Oryctolagus cuniculus: one gene and its partner. The protein of the gene in region 2 purifies or fractionates together with the protein of the main gene of each other region. This does not show direct contact. Links are inferred from orthologs where the notes say so. Each region holds a gene or a part of one and is shown on either strand. Other genes may lie near its edges.

Region 1 (3,644 bases), on a different chromosome or scaffold from region 2:
AGAAAGAGAGGTGCCACGATGTGGCATCTAGGAGATGGGACAGAATGATACTCAGAGCAGGTGAAGAACTCAGCACCACAGGTGAGACAAGCAAGAGGTGAAGAAGGAACTGAGATGCTACCAAGTTTGTAAGAAGAGAAAGACATTGAAACTCACTCTAGAGTGCCTCTGCACTGACTGCAGAGGGAGAAGTGACATGACCTGAGCTAACAAGCACCTTCCATTCAAGAATACTGGAGAAGAGTTATGGGGTCAAAGGGCGGTGGGAAGGTAGGAAGTGGAAAGGCCAGGAAGTGAAGTTGGGCTCTTTGTGGGGACAAAGGAAGGCAGACAAGTGCTAAAAAGGCTGCAAGTGCTAAATATAGAAATGCTAACACATAATGAGCCATGAGGAAGAAGTCAGAGGACTTAGGTGAAGACTGGTTATTGCTAGGTCTACATTACAATGAAATGTATTTTAAACAGCATGGAGCCAGGGGAACACTAGGAACACTAGGGTGTGTGTGTATATGTGTGCACAGGCAAACATGCATATGCATCTGCTCCTAAGCTGATTCTCTGGTGTTGGGTCCAAGATTTGTGGGTGTCAGGATATCATCTTCCTGTATCCTCATGGTCACCCTGAGAATTATAAAGAAATATAAGCCATCATTTGTATGTCAGTTTCCTGTGGGTCACTTTTTCTTGCTCTTAAGACTGTGACTACCTAGCCTCTTCCGTTCTCGGAACTGCTTTCTCTGGAACACTGTTCTGCCTCTGTGCTCGCCTTGGCCTACTACTCTTGGAATGTGAAGTACACACCCCAAACTCCCCTTAAACTACCAGTTTTCTGAAATGCATATTCAAGTTAACCCTCGTTATTAATTTTACATACCCATAATCACACTGATAAAGAGTACGACAAACACTAACCTGAGGCAGAAGCTACAGGCGCCTGGGCTTGGATGTGCTCCACAGCTTGTGGCCTGATTTCAGACAACACTTGATGACTGGAACTTGGATGTTCCACGAGTTTTACTGCAGCTAAAGCATCAGGGCCAAACATCTGAATATCCATAGAAACCAGACACACTAACATGTCTGAAATAAATTTAAAAATCAATAGTTATTGCTCAATAATACTATGAAACAAGGCCACTGCTGGAGAACAATGTTGTACAGAATACCCCTTCTCTAATGCCAGTCCATGAACATCTGAACTACCTGTGGACTGAATCCCTGCAGACTGACGCAGAAGCTCTGGGGGGGGAGGCAGGCATCTTTTTTAAAAGGCTTCCAAGTGATTCTGACCGGTAGCCAGATTTAGAAACAGCTGATATGAAAAATAACATCTTAACTTCTCAACATTAGTGGTTTTCAGGTTAAATCTTTATTAATTCTGATGTTAGTTATTTTTACTCAAGAGACATCATTTTTAGACACAGAGGAAAAAAACCATTGAGCTGGTGTGCTTTAGGATGTATATTTAAAACTGGTAACTCTGAGACAGGTCACCCATGTTATGGACAGAAACGAACCAGAAGCTTCACTCAGCTTCAGCTGCTCAGCAGTGGTAACTGCGGGCTGCACCAGAGAGCTGTCCCTACAGCACTGAGACGCAGCAGTCTGGGAACATCCAGTGTGATACACGGGATTCCTAAGGCAGAACCTGGTCTCCCTCAGGACACGCGTCTCTGCTCATCTAAAACTGGCAAAAGGTGTGCACAGTTAAGTGTGTCTGAGGGTGTAAAGACTCCCTCAAAGTAACAAGAAACCCAAATATCAACTGAGGTTTCTGTACAGTCCCACGTTTGCAATTTTTTCCTCGGCAGCACAGATAAATTATTTTTGGTTCAGTCTTACCTATACTCTTTTCTACTTTTGCAATTTTTGTGCAAGCAACATCTCCCATTTCGGTGAGCATGTATAGCACCTCAAGTGTTGAGATTACAAGCAGCACATCTGGTAGAGTGAGATGACAAATGATCTCTCGATACGAATCTTGATCGACATATTCACAGATTAAAACACCATTATCTTCTGCTTTGCAAAGATTTCCCAAAATTTCCATGCCTGCAAAATGCACACACGGTTGTGAACAAATGATAAAGTTCATCTGCTTCAGACAACAGAAAACTTACATGAGCACTCACCCCTCATCTTTAAAAACCTATCCCTTGACATGAGGCATTTTGTAACAGTATGAAACATTAGATGAGTCGTTTTGAAATCAACAGGGTCCAATAAAAGCTGAAAAAAAAAAGAAAGAATAGTACTGTTGAAGTGTGCTTCCTTCAGAGTTCTATATTTGAAATTTAATAAAAATGACCAGGACAAGGTGGCATAACTTTAAAATACGCAACTATTGTGAGAACAGCCATCACTAAAATTGAAGCTTCATTGTAAATATTTCTTCCACAAAAGTGTGTGATTCTTCCACACAACAGATACACGTTAGCATTTAGTATGTTATAAATATAGCAACTACAAAATCTCACTTCCGAAACTTTTAAAGTAAATAACATTGCCAACTCTGGTATGATTTTCAAGGTGCATGTTCATATTATTAGGCTTACCTCAGCTGCAATATTTCCTAGAGTGTCCAGGCCCAACTGCCTTAGAGAAATGAAATGACTGTGCGCGGAGAGTAACAGGAAGCGGAGACAGGTGCGGTTAGCTGCCAGGAGCTTCACGTTGCCCTCCTCAAAGGAAAGATTCCGCAAAATCACTGCCACCTGGAGAACCCGCTGCCCTTCGATATCATTAATGCCCAGCTTTCGAGGTGGGTGAAATAAAGACTCCCAAATCCAGTCTCCTGCTGTACCGTCTAATCAAGAAACACAATCTCACTTAAACTGATACTTTATTTATTATTATTACTAGTATTAACAAATTATTTCATAACGTTGCTTCCACTGACTTACCGTGAGACTTGTTTCTGTCAGAAATGAGGTCACGTACTTCATTATCATCAACAATGTCTTTCCAAAACTGTAACGAGAAATTATTATATTGGATCTCAATGACCTGTTAAAACAATGGTCCTATTACTTTAAGAACACACATACATAAAACTGTACATTTTTACTTTTTTTGGTTCAGATGGATGTTGTTACATTCATGAATTTAATTGTTTGACATAAATGTTTCTTTTTTTTAACAGGTAAAGACACCTAAATAATAAAGCATCATTTTAGGGAATGGGTCTTTAACCTGGGAGCCACAGAACTCTCTCAAGTCTATGAAAGAAATCCAGACATCTGTAAATTTGGATGTGGGAAAAAAGAAATCTTTATGTTCATTAACCTTTATGTGACACTGAGCATGGATTTTTAGCCTTAAGTGGTGTTAGGCAACAAGCAACAGCAGTACCAGCTGCACCTGGACACTGTGACAACAGGAATTACAGGTGTTTCAGACCACCTTTACAATAAAGCAGATTATAGGAGGCATCACTTGTAAATAGAACGTAACTCAGGACCCTGTGACAGACAGCCCTGATACATGACCAGAGGTGAGGCTGTAGGTTCTCAAATGAGAAACCCAGACAGTTAATCTGCTTTCCAGTATTTCCTATCTTCAAACTATTTTTTGGTATAATGGAAGAACTGAGTCAAAATCCACCCTACTGTTAAATATACTTTTTTAGGATAAAAATCAAACCC
Region 2 (3,671 bases):
GGGAGTGCAGCCTTGCGGCCTCTCTCACCTCAGCCTCCAGCAGCTCTGGAACCGGCTCCTCCTTGGTCAGCATGGGGGGTTCGTCCGTGCTGCCTGCAGTTATGCCCCCGGGATCTGGAATGTCAAGTGAACAGTCATTCCCTGAGCAGCCACTCTGTGCCCAGAGGTCAGACTGGGAGAAATGCACGCACGTGCGCGCGCGCACACACACACACAGGCAGCTGGACAGAGAGAAAGGGGCCCAGGACCTGGCTGAAGTCCCAGCCCCAGACTGAAGCAGGAACACTTATGCAGGATCTGCAAAGCGGTGTAGCTTTACCAAGAAAAACACACTTCAGACAAAGGGAACGCAGGGTAGTGAGCACAGGTCCTGGAGTTCAGCGGCCGCCTTCAGATCCTGGCCTTGGGCCGGCTCCTTCCGTCTCTTGGGGCCTCTCCTTAGCCATCCATAACATGGGGCCAGGGGTCGCAGTTGGTGCATGACTCTCGGGAGGAGGAGGCGAGGTAGTACAGCTCAAAGTGTTTGGCACCCAGCACGTGCGCCAGAAATGCCAGTTACTGCTTCTCTATTAGCACAGGTGTCCAGGCTCAGCCCCTAGGCCCAAGCCGTGGCTTTGGTGGCGGGCAGGGCACGGCGCACAGGGGGCCCTCAGCGTCCAGCTCAGGGGGCAGAAGGAGCCACAGCAGGAAAATGAGCCCCACCCGGCCCCCCGCTTCAGGCAGAGCTGTGCTACAGCTGCGGGGCGGCTGGAGCCAGGCTGTGGCCTGGGGAGGCCACGCTGGGCGGGGGTGAACTGGAAGAAAGAGGAGCTGAGGAGCCTCAACCTGAAGACGCTGTGTGAGCTCGGGCGACCGACTTAACCTTGCTGATCTGCCTCCTCAGCTACAAACAGGAAGCAGGGCAGGCTAACCCCTCCGAGGCGGCGAGTCAATGAGATAAAACAGAACAGAGTGTTTGGAAGGCACCTGGCACGCAGTAAGAGCTCAATCAATAGCGCCCGTGAGTAGCTTCGTCTTTTAGTCACTCGACAAACATTGATTGAGCACCTATTATGCGTCCCACTAGACTTGGAGGATGCCGTGAACAAGATCGGGGAGGGCCCGACCTCCAGGAAGCCGACACGAGACGGGGCAGGAAGACAGTATGTGAGCAGCAACTGAAATTGATAGGGAAATGCCAGAGGAGACGGCAGGGGCGGGCACTGTTTCCACGGGGCTCATGGGAGAGGGGCAGGTAGCGGGGTGAGCTGCTGGGCGCAGAGAAGGGGGCTCTGGGTGGCACCTGATCCTACCTCTCTCTTGGCCCAGCCGTGGGGGCTGAGCCTCCTCAGGGACCCCTTCCGGGGCTCCGGCGGGTGACACAGGGCGGCTGGGCTGTGGGGTGCCCCCGGGGCTGGGCTCGGTACCCTTGTGCAGGGAGCCTTCCGAGTGGAAGCTCTGGTTGCTGTTCTCATCTGCAGAAACAAGAGCCCAGAGGGTCGGCCTGAGGCCCCCAGGCCCCTCCTCCAGGTCCCACAGCCACCCCTCCCCGCCCCCGGCAATGCCTGGGCCCCCACACATACCATTGAGATCTAGCAGGATGAGCGGGCCGCCCCCTCGGGGACTGGCACCCCTGCCTCGCCGCTCTCGGCCACGGGATCGCTCTGCCCCGCCACCTGCCCGCCGCCGCTCCTGGGGGTGACAGGGATGAGGATCAGAGCCAGCGTTTCCCGGCAGCCCTGGCAGAGCCCCACGGGGACAAACGGGGAAACTGAGGCACAGAGAAACCCAAGGCCCAGCCAGAGGTGACAGAGGCTGTGCGTGCTGGGTTAGCCTTGCAGGGGGGGGGTCTGGAGCAGGAAAGGGGGAGGGGGAGGGGCAGCCGAGTAATCCTGAACATCTGGGCTGCGGTAGGCACTGGAGGTGGAGGCCAGGGTGGGGAGGAGCTGGGCTGAGACTGCACAGATGCAGGGTCTTGGGGGGTGGGGGGTGGGCTTGCTCACCTCCTCCTGGGGGTCCACCACCGGCACCCACTTGAAGATGCGAAGGGAAGTGTCGCCCACAGTCACCCAACGCTTCTCCCTGTGGGAGGGTGGGGTGCTGGGTCAGAGAGGCCTGAGGGGAGAGGCGCCCCCCCCCCCCGCGCGCACCCGCCTGACCCGCCGCCTCCGCCTCTGCCCCAGGTACCACATCTGCAAGGTGGGGGAGGTGCACGAGGGTTGGGGCGGTTTTGCGAATGAGGCACTGTTGGAGAGAGCGAGCCCAGGGCAAAGATGGGGAGGGGGCGCCCCGGGCACGCCTCGGGGCCATGGCTAGGGCAGAACCCCTCCGGAGGGAGGGGGCCATCCCTGGGGACGCAGCTCGGAGCCCGGGCCATACTTGCAGGAGTGTCAGAGCTTCAGGGGGCGGGGCACGGACGAGGGCTCCCGCCCGGCGAAGGCACGGCTGGGGACCACGCTTTGTAGACCTCCGGGGGTAGCCCGGGGAAGGGAGACGGAGCCCTGGGGATCCCGCGCACAGCTGGTGGCCGGGGGCGCACCTAACACCTGGGGGGCGCAGCTGGCGAGGGGAGGGGAGGCGCGCGAGGGGGCGGTGGTCCCCGCCAGGGTCCCGGCCCCGGCCGCGGGGCAGCGCTCACCATCGCCGGACTTTCTCGATGGTCGCCATCACCTTCTTGATGTCATCCTTGGCCCGGCTCCGGGTCTCAGCCCGTACGGTCCGGCCGGCCATGCTGGCGGCGCTGGGGCCGGGGCCGAGCCCGCGGCGGGGCTGCCTCCCGTCCGGCGGGCTCAGGCTCGGCGCCAGGCCGGGGCGCCGCTCTCGCCGCCCGCCGTCCCCTCCGGGAGTTGGCCGCGCCCTCCCTCGCTCCCCAACGCCTCCGCGAGTCCCCGCCCCGCTTCCTGCCGCCGCGCCCCGCCCCGGCCCGTCCCCGGAGCGGCCGGGCGGCGCGGGTGCCGGAGCCCAGGCCTGGAAGCCGGGCCAGCCCCGCCCCGCCCCGGGCCCGCCCCTTCGGGGGCGCCCGGACGCGCAGCGCCCCCTGTCCGCCGCCGAGAGCGAGCGAGAGTTGGGGGCCCGCTGGCTCGGCGACTTGGACGCGCGCGGCTCCGCCGAGGCGGCGCGTCCAGACCACGTGGGCGCTCGGGTGCACGAGAGGGTCTGGGTGCAGGTGTGCGAACCTGAGACACCGTGTGTGTGTCCCCGGACACCCCCTCCTCCCTCGCCGGGCTGGCTGATTCTACGCTGCCCAACTTAATTCGTTCACCCATTCATTCATTCAACGATCTAGCAGCCCAGTGCCAATTACGCGCCACAGCTGCACACATGAGTGAGTCTCCACCCCCCAGGATGGCTATAGCGAGAACGACAGGCCATACCGAGTGTGGGCGGGCCAGCGGAGCCGCGCGGCCTCCCTTCTGTTTCTGGGGGAGTGGGAATTGGTAGAGACTTTCCCATGAAGCTGAACAAAGACCAGCCCAGGAATCCAGCACGTCAGCACCCAGCAGAAATGCTTAGACAGGAGCACCAAGAGCCGTGAGCTGGGATGTTCACAGCCGCGTTCTTAACAGCCCCGAACCGTAAACGGCTTACCAAGAGGAGACTGGGAAGTGGGTTGCAGCTATTGATACCCAAGACAGAGACCCAGCGGGCAAGAATGCCCGCTGTCCCACTACACCCAGCGACGGGACAAGTCT

What was found. Proteins that work in one complex are often made in the same cells at the same time.
Region 1: the proteins of BCL7C (region 2) and ARID2 purify together in Homo sapiens (affinity purification with mass spectrometry; 3 studies listed by BioGRID and IntAct, counting the BioPlex papers as one, with this or other methods). This does not show direct contact. The link is inferred for Oryctolagus cuniculus from reciprocal best matches to the Homo sapiens genes BCL7C and ARID2.

What each region holds. Positions count from the first base shown.
Region 1 is NC_091440.1:136,610,128-136,613,771, reverse strand, and holds part of ARID2 (AT-rich interactive domain-containing protein 2), read right to left. Parts: intron 2,971-3,644; coding exon 2,904-2,970; intron 2,807-2,903; coding exon 2,556-2,806; intron 2,230-2,555; coding exon 2,133-2,229; intron 2,053-2,132; coding exon 1,843-2,052; intron 1,081-1,842; coding exon 913-1,080; intron 1-912. UniProt on the Homo sapiens protein: Involved in transcriptional activation and repression of select genes by chromatin remodeling (alteration of DNA-nucleosome topology). Required for the stability of the SWI/SNF chromatin remodeling complex SWI/SNF-B (PBAF).
Region 2 is NC_091450.1:6,251,084-6,254,754, reverse strand, and holds the start of BCL7C (B-cell CLL/lymphoma 7 protein family member C), read right to left. Parts: upstream 2,922-3,671; 5' UTR 2,710-2,921; coding exon 2,618-2,709; intron 2,062-2,617; coding exon 1,983-2,061; intron 1,672-1,982; coding exon 1,563-1,671; intron 1,455-1,562; coding exon 1,293-1,454; exon of another isoform or gene 1,067-1,292; intron 977-1,066; exon of another isoform or gene 115-976; coding exon 29-114; exon of another isoform or gene 1-28. UniProt on the Homo sapiens protein: May play an anti-apoptotic role.